Linked DNA regions of Notamacropus eugenii. The protein of the gene in region 2 interacts with the protein of the main gene of each other region in a biochemical or structural test. Links are inferred from orthologs where the notes say so. Each region holds a gene or a part of one and is shown on either strand. Other genes may lie near its edges.

Evidence for each region. The genes of interacting proteins can lie anywhere in the genome.
Region 1: the proteins of DLG4 (region 2) and CRHR1 form a complex in vitro, tested with the Homo sapiens proteins (2 studies listed by BioGRID and IntAct, with this or other methods). The link is inferred for Notamacropus eugenii from reciprocal best matches to the Homo sapiens genes DLG4 and CRHR1.

What each region holds. Positions count from the first base shown.
Region 1 is NC_092873.1:347,228,917-347,232,516, reverse strand, and holds the start of CRHR1 (corticotropin-releasing factor receptor 1), read left to right. Parts: upstream 1-1,022; 5' UTR 1,023-1,550; coding exon 1,551-1,583; intron 1,584-3,600.
Region 2 is NC_092873.1:78,853,087-78,857,026, forward strand, and holds the start of DLG4 (disks large homolog 4), read left to right. Parts: upstream 1-988; 5' UTR 989-1,111; coding exon 1,112-1,141; intron 1,142-3,940. UniProt on the Homo sapiens protein: Postsynaptic scaffolding protein that plays a critical role in synaptogenesis and synaptic plasticity by providing a platform for the postsynaptic clustering of crucial synaptic proteins.

The sequences.
Region 1 (3,600 bases), about 270 Mb from region 2:
GTTCTGTCTTGTATACCAAAGCTGTATCTAGAGATCTGGGGGCTGGGGTGACAGACGGTCATCCTGGTGCTGGGCAGCAAGGATGGGTAACAAGGGCTAAGGAGCCTGGATTCCAATGTTGCCGTTATCTTTCTCTCCCCACTGGCCAAGGGAAAACGGCACAACCTCCTGCTGGGGTCTGGGTGGAGGGTGTGTGTGGGGTGTTATCCTGTAAATGAGGGAACTGTCTCTGAAACATAGAACGGCTATGGAGGAGTGAAGAGTAGATGCTAGAAAGAGCAGGGAGTGCCCATACCCTACCACTCAGGCCTAGAGTTGTAGACCCCCTTAGGGAATGGCAAAGAAAGGAGAGATGAAAGGGCTGAAGCGGAGGAGGGGTTGTGGGGGGATGGGTCGGGAAACACCCAGATGCAATCCTGAGCTTCCAAAACTACTGCTAGCCTTCCCTCACTCTCCAGCAGGGTGCCCAGGAAGCGGTGGTGGAGGGGCACCTTCCACAGACCACCTCACCCCTCCCGCCTTCGTCCTTCCAATCAGACTCACTCTGTGTCCCAGAAGTATGTCTCTCCTGATCTCCCCCCTCCCCACGTCCCGTAAGTCTCTTTCTTCAGCAGCCTTTCCAAGAAGCGAGTGGAAGAGGGGTTCTTAGTCTTCTCTCCCCTCCCCTCCCCACCCTCTCGCCCCAGTCCCAATCTCTAGGCTCTTCTCGGACTGCTGTCCCTGAAGCTGGCGGCGCAGGAGCCGCGCTCAACTCACTGCTGCAAACTGAGAGGGGGGCAGGGAAAAGGGGTCAGCGATTAGCCAGGCAGGGTGGAGGGGTGAGGGGGAAGCGCTAGAAGGGAAGGGACAGGCAGGGAGCGCGAGTGGAGAAAGAGGGAAGGAGGAGGAAAGGGGCAGAGGGAGGAGGAGGGAGGGAAGGGGGAAGGAGAGAGGAGGAAAAGGGAGAGGAGAGGAGGAGGTGGGGAGGAGAGAGAAAAAGGCAAGAAAGGACAGGGAGGAGGAGGAGGAAAAGGAGGAGGAGGAGAGAGGTGGCGGGGGCGATGCGGGGTTCCTGACTGCCAGGCGCAGGCTAGACGAGTGCCCTCCCTTAAGAACTGGGCGGGAAGTGGCCGTGGGGACCCGGCTTAGGAAGAAGAGAGGTGGCGCTGCCGGAGGGAACCGGGAGCGGAGCTGGGGGCGGATGGGAGAAGGAGCCGGTTGTTGGCAGCAGATGTGACCGAGCTGCGGGCTGCCCGCCGGGGACGGAGCCCGAGAGCCGGGCGGGCAGTGCCTCCTTCTAAAGGAGCACCTGGCGCTCCGCTCTCTCTCCTCCCCTGCGATCCCCTGCCAGCGCCGCGATCCCCTGCCTCTCCTTACCCTGCTCTCCCCCCAATCCCTCTGGGCTCCCACTCTCAGAGGCTGGGGCTGCCTCCCTCCCCTACCCGCCACGCTACCTCGGGCTTTCCCCCGCAGCTCTCTAGCAAGCAAGCGCCCTAGCCCGAGCTTGGCCGTGCCCTTCTGGGGAATGTGCCAGTAAGCCAGGTATCCAGGGCCCCCAGAGAACCCCCAGGATGGGACGCCGCCCTCACCTCTTGGTCATCCAGGTAAGAATATGGGCGGGCAAAGAGACCCTTCCACTTGCACCAATCCCTCCCATCCCCCCCAACACCCCAGTGGTAGCGGGGGAGACCGGGAGCTGTGTGCGCAGAGGAGCGGGGGCGCAGGATTGACCCTCTCCAGCCCGGGGCCAGGGGCCCGGGCTGGTTTGGGAACGACCCAGGACTACCAAAGACGGCTTTAATGTCCCTGGGGGAAGTCAAACTCTTCAGAACGGACGGTTTTCCGGGGAAATGGGTGGGGAGGACTCAGGTTGGGGCTGGGAGAACGCTTCCCGGAATCCGCAGTGCCAAAGATTCCCTTCCTCAAGCTTCAGAGTGCCGGGGTGATTACCAAATCAGGGGTTGAGTCCCCATTTCCCCCTCCTCTACCTGCCCTCGCCCCCGCTGACCATTCTGTCTGGGTTGGGCTTCGATAGTTCAACGCTTTGGAGGTAAGGTTCTCGCCTGTTTTTTTCCTTAAACACCTTCCTTAGATTCTACCTCCTCCTTCCCCCCTTTTAGGCCGCCCAATGGCTCCTTTTCCCTTTGCAGAAATCTGCATGTCTATGGAGATAAATCTCTCCCGCTCCTCCGAGCGCTTGGATTCATAGAACAATGTTCCCCCGCCTAATTGAGGTGTCTGATGTTCGGTCCTCTTCTCCTGCTAGCCTCCTGACTGGCCGTGCTTGAGCCGGGTCCGAGAGTGGGAGCTTTTTTTTTTTTCCGCTGGAACTAGGAGCCAGAAACCGCTCGGTCTTGAGTCTAACGTCTAGCGAGGATATACCAGCTCCTAGAGTTTAGGAAAGTCACCAATAAATCCACCAATTTTTGTCTAAAGTAGTTCAGTGGCAGACAGATCACTCCCTCATCCCAAACCAGGTACCAATCTTCAATCAGGGAGGAAAGCATATTTTTAGGGTCCAGGATGGAGTCTCACACCCTGTAAACGAGTGAATTCTGGCATCTATTTTTTGTGAGGCTTATTCTCCAATGCACACACAGATAAATTACTTTAACTGATTTCTAGATTGTTTTTTGGGAGGGAGGAGTGCTTTTTATTTATGTGTATGTGTGAATCTTGAAAGTGCTGAATTTTTAAAAAATGATTGAGTGATCCCACAATGCTAAATCACCCATTTGATTTTTTTTTTTACTTTTCAAATAGTTGTTGAACCTTTGTCTTGTCTTTTGTTTCTCTGTATACACAGAGGTGTGTGAATCAAATCATCTCCTTTGAAAACTAGCAGTTTAATTCAAGTTGTCTATAACAGAATGTTTAAAAAATAATAATGAGTTTGACTGAAATAAGCCTCACTCCCCACCCCACTCCGAAAGCCCTTGTAATACAGCTTTCTTTTAACCAAGACAGTGAGAAAAGTGTTGGATTTGGATCAGAAAGAAAAACCTGGGCTCCAGTCTGGTTGTCCTATCTTTGTGGTCTCTGGCAATCAATTAAAAAAAGAATCCTACAGATATTTATTTAGCATCTACTATGGGCTAGACACTGCACTTGATATACAAGGACAGTAGTCATACAGTTCCTGGCCTCCTGGGGCTTATGGTATTGAGGGGGCAGAGAGAGGGAGAGACAACATGCATATATACATATATGTACATATGTGTACTTGGTATTATTTTATACCAGATATATAGATGGAGGAGACACTAGAAGCTGGGGGGGGGGGGGAGGGAAACTTCAGTGTGACACTTGAGTTGGGGTTTGAAAAGGAGTCAGAAAGTAAGAGGGAGTAAACCCCAGGCATGGAGGAGATAGTCCCCTCCAAAGGCACTAGAGATGGAAGGTAGAAAACTGCGAGTAAGGAACAAGAGGAGGGGCAATCTGGCTGGAGAGTGAAATTCCTGGAGGATAGTAATATGTAATGAGTCCAGATTGGGACCAGGCTGCAAAAGAGCTTTAAGTGCCAGAGTTTATATCTGACCCTGGAAGTGTAAACAGTCAGAAGAGATGGGCTGAAGTTTGAGTGTAGAAGTGACTTGGAGACTTATGCAAAGGGGAAAATCA
Region 2 (3,940 bases):
CCATTGGCTGAATATCTGGGTTCCATCCTACAATATTTTCCTCTTACATTCCTCCCTTAGTCTTTCTGCTTGTCACATTTCTGGCCCTACAGAGTCCTGGTTATAGCCACATTTCCTCCCTGCCTCCTCAAAACCACCCCAAAGGGAAGCCAAGGCCATCAGTTCCCCCAGTGCAGGCAGCCAGGGACTCAGAATCCTGCTCCTAATCCCTCTTTATCTCCCTCTCCTCCTCCCCCCTTTTGCCTCAAGAATATTTCAGGGTCCCCTCCCACTCACAGGTGCTCCCCACCATACCATTGCCCCTGCCAAGAAATCCAGTCAGTTACTTTATTTTTCTTTCCTCTGCCTTCATCCTTTTCTCTCAACATCTCTATGCCTTTCTTCTTGCGTCTCCGTGACTCTGACTGTGCCTGTTTTTCTGGCTGTGACCTGTGTATGTTTCTCTCTTTGTCCTCATCCGTATGTGTGTGTCTGTGACTCTGCCTTCATCTCCTCCTTCATCTCCATCCTCATCCCCGTGTATCCGGGCTCCCCCAAGCACTGAAGGAGTTAACCTCCCTTGCTTCCCCCCCCATCCCTTGCTCCCTCCCTCCCTTCCTCCCCCCTCTTCCTCTCTCCTCTCTCGCCTTCCCTTCTCAGCTCCTTGCTCCCTTGGCCGTGGCTGCCGCCTCCAACCCCCCCTTCCCATTCCCCCTTTCCCAGCTGCCAAGAGAGACCCTCCCTAGCCTCTCTCTCAAGACCCCCCCCATCCCAGCTTCTCCCACCCCTTCTTCCCCTCCCCCTCCCACCCCAGCTCATGTCTCAGCCTCCGGCCCCTGGGGCTTCAAGCCCCTTGCGCCCCCACCCTTCCTGAGATTGGGGTGGGTACCCCCCAAGCTCTCTGCCTTCTATTCGGGGGACCACCTTTTGGGGCCCCTCTTCCCCTCCCTCCCACGCTTCCCCTCTCTTTCTCTTCTCCCTCTCCCTTCCTCCCCTCCTCACCCCTCCCCCCACCCGCCCCCCCAAAAAAAGTGGGGTACGGAGGGGGGAGGGGGGAGAGTTGGCTGAAGGGGGAATGAGATCCTAATGAAGTCAGAGCCCCCCACACGCCACAGCGTCCAGCCCCCCAAACATGGACTGTCTCTGTATCGTGACAACCAAGGTAAGCAGGATATTGGGGGGGTGTGGAGAAAGGGGTGTCAAAAGGCTGATATCTAAGGGGAACAGAGTTTGTAGAGAGGTACCAGGTAGGCCTTATCTGGAGCCTAGGGTCCATTAGGGAAAGATCAGTAGAAGTAGGGTGCTTAGGATTTGTCTCCCCGGATTGGGGAAACACAGGCATATAGATAATGCAGGGAAGACTGGAGGCAGCCATGGGGCACCCTGGAGTGATTCCCCAAGTGTCTATATGGAGCACAAATGTGGGGGGGGTTCTGTGGCTTGGGGGGAGCCTGGCAGTTTGGAATTTGCGGGGGACATGGGGGATGCTTATCTTGGGGGAAGCCTGGCTCATACTGGAAGAGAAGTTCATGTTTTAGGGGTGGAGGGGTCTTCAGGGTGGGAGAAGGCAGGCTTGATTTTAGGGACTCTAGGTCAATTTTGGGGGAGAATGAGAGGCCTCGAGAGATACTCTTGGGTTTGGGGGAATTGCTTAAAGCTCATTGGAAGAATATTACCACAATTTGAGGCCATACTTATTTTGGGGGATCACTCAGTATGAGGGTGACTGGGAGTAGTAAAGGTTCAGTGGGTCAAGGCCTGAGACTGGGAACCATTTTAAAGAACCAATCTAGAGGAGGTTAAGATTTGGGGTGCTATCTCACTGGGTCCCCAACTCTAGGACAAGGAGAAATCTAAGAATCTGAGATGGGCTTACAGGAATTGGCTGATTTGGGGCATCATGCGGGTGATGAATTTGGGAGACCCTCAAGCAGGTGTTCTCACTCCTCCTTTGCCTTTGCCCATTCACTTTGCTCTAGCTCTCACTCCTGTCCCCAGCAGGAGAGAGAGGGGAGAGAAAAGCAGATGGAAAGACAAACTCCAGACCTGCTCAACCAGGCTCTTAAGGGGGAGGGATGTGAAGGACACCCTGGATTTGGAGGGTGACCCCCCCCCCCCCCAGACCAAGGAAAGGATCTAGGCCTTAAGGAGTTGAATGGGGCTTGGGATGGAGGCAAACTGAAGGTAGGCAGAATGAGGGGGAGTAGTAGAATAGAAGGGGACTGGGGGCGGTGGGGGAAACTGGGGGAGTCAGAGAGAAAGCTGAATGTGGAGGGGCCAGTCTGTGAAAGGCAGAATGGCCTGGGTGGTGGTGGTGGGGGAAGGACACCTGGCTTCCTCATGGGAGAATCTGAGATTTGGGGGTTAGATGCCTCTGTAGAGGGTTAGGCAGGTAGCTGGCTGGGAGGGTGGGGAATAGGAGGGACAGGAAGTGTTGGCTGGGGGAAGCAGGGTCTGGGTGAGTCATAGGATGGGGAAGGGGTTATATTTAGTGGGAGCTACAGCATCTAGGGGGAAGGCTACTCACATATCCCACCATATGCACATGGATGTTCATGTGCACATGCTGGCATAGAGTTGGGCCTCAGGAAGATACAGGATATGGGAAGGACTTCATGGAAACCAAGCCTGGATGCCTCTTAGTCTTAGCATCTGCTATCCCACCTCACACCTTTACCTTTCCCCCCACATATTTTTTGGGGGCCTTTCTCTGGGGATCTTATCCTGGATTCATTGTTTTCCTGTTTCTGCCACTTTTTTTTTCTGTTTGTCTTTGTGTCTCAGGGCCATGTTTTATGTCCTTGATGTCCCCCCCACCTCCCCTCATCTTGTTCTCATGTTTCTCCTGCCATATTCTCCCTTCTGTGTCTCTCAGTCTTCCCCCTTTCCCCCCTCTGCCCTTTCCCAGGGCCAGCACTTTGGGGACACAGGAGGGAAAGGCCTGAGCAAACAAGGGACACTTGAGGACATGCTTCCTTCTCTCCCCCTCCCCTTCCCCTCTTTCCCTCCCCCTATGCCTCCCTTGGTGATGTTTCCTATAGATACAGGCAAAAGGAAAGATCTATATTGAGGTGTTGGGTACAAACCCTTTCTGAGAGCATGGGAAAATAGGCATGAGAGAAGAAAGAGGAGGAAACCTGGGCTTGTAAGATGTTCACTAAGTCCAGGGAAACAGCCTCCCTTTATTCTGATCTAGAACTGAGCCAACAGCCAAGAACGTTGGTGCCATAGGGTCCCTACAGAGAGGAGGAAGGGAGATTGGACACATAGGTGGCTCAGGGGAAAACAGGAGATTTCTTTGCCTCGAAAACTTTTCAGCGCTGGTGAAGGTGGGACTCCAACTCCCATGAGTCCCTGGGGTAGAAGGCCCCTAAGTACACTAGAACTGTCGCCCTGGGCCCTGTCGGGAGTCGTAGTCCCGGCCAGTCCACGGGCTCCGGGGTAGAACAGGGGAGGCCGGCAGGGGACGCTGTGTCCCAGCACTCTTCGGCTTGTGCTGAGTACACTGGCTCCTCGCCCTGTGGAGGCCTTTACCTCTGGTTCTCTCCCATAGTCTATTTACCCTGACGCCGGTTTCCATCTCTTGTTTCTATCTCCTAGTCTGTCTGTCTGTCTGTCTGTCTGTCTTGTCTGTCTCTCCCGCCCCCGCCCCCAACCCACTTGCCTCCCCCTTCCACCTCCTAGTTCCACCTCCTATTTCCCTGCGCTGGCGCCGTTGCCATGGTAACCGGCGACGACTAGAGCGGCTTGGCAGGCTGGCGGGCGGGGCCCACGGAGGTTGGGGGCGCGAGCACGGGGGCGGGGCCGTGGGGGAGGGGGCGGTTGACTTTGGCCAGAGACCCGGACGCGAAGCAGTTAAACCCTCCGGGCGGCCCTAATTGGGCAACTCGGGCACGCCGGGGGCGGAGTCGGACCGGCCACCAGCCCTTGCTTATTGGCCGAGATGGGCGGGGCGGGGTTG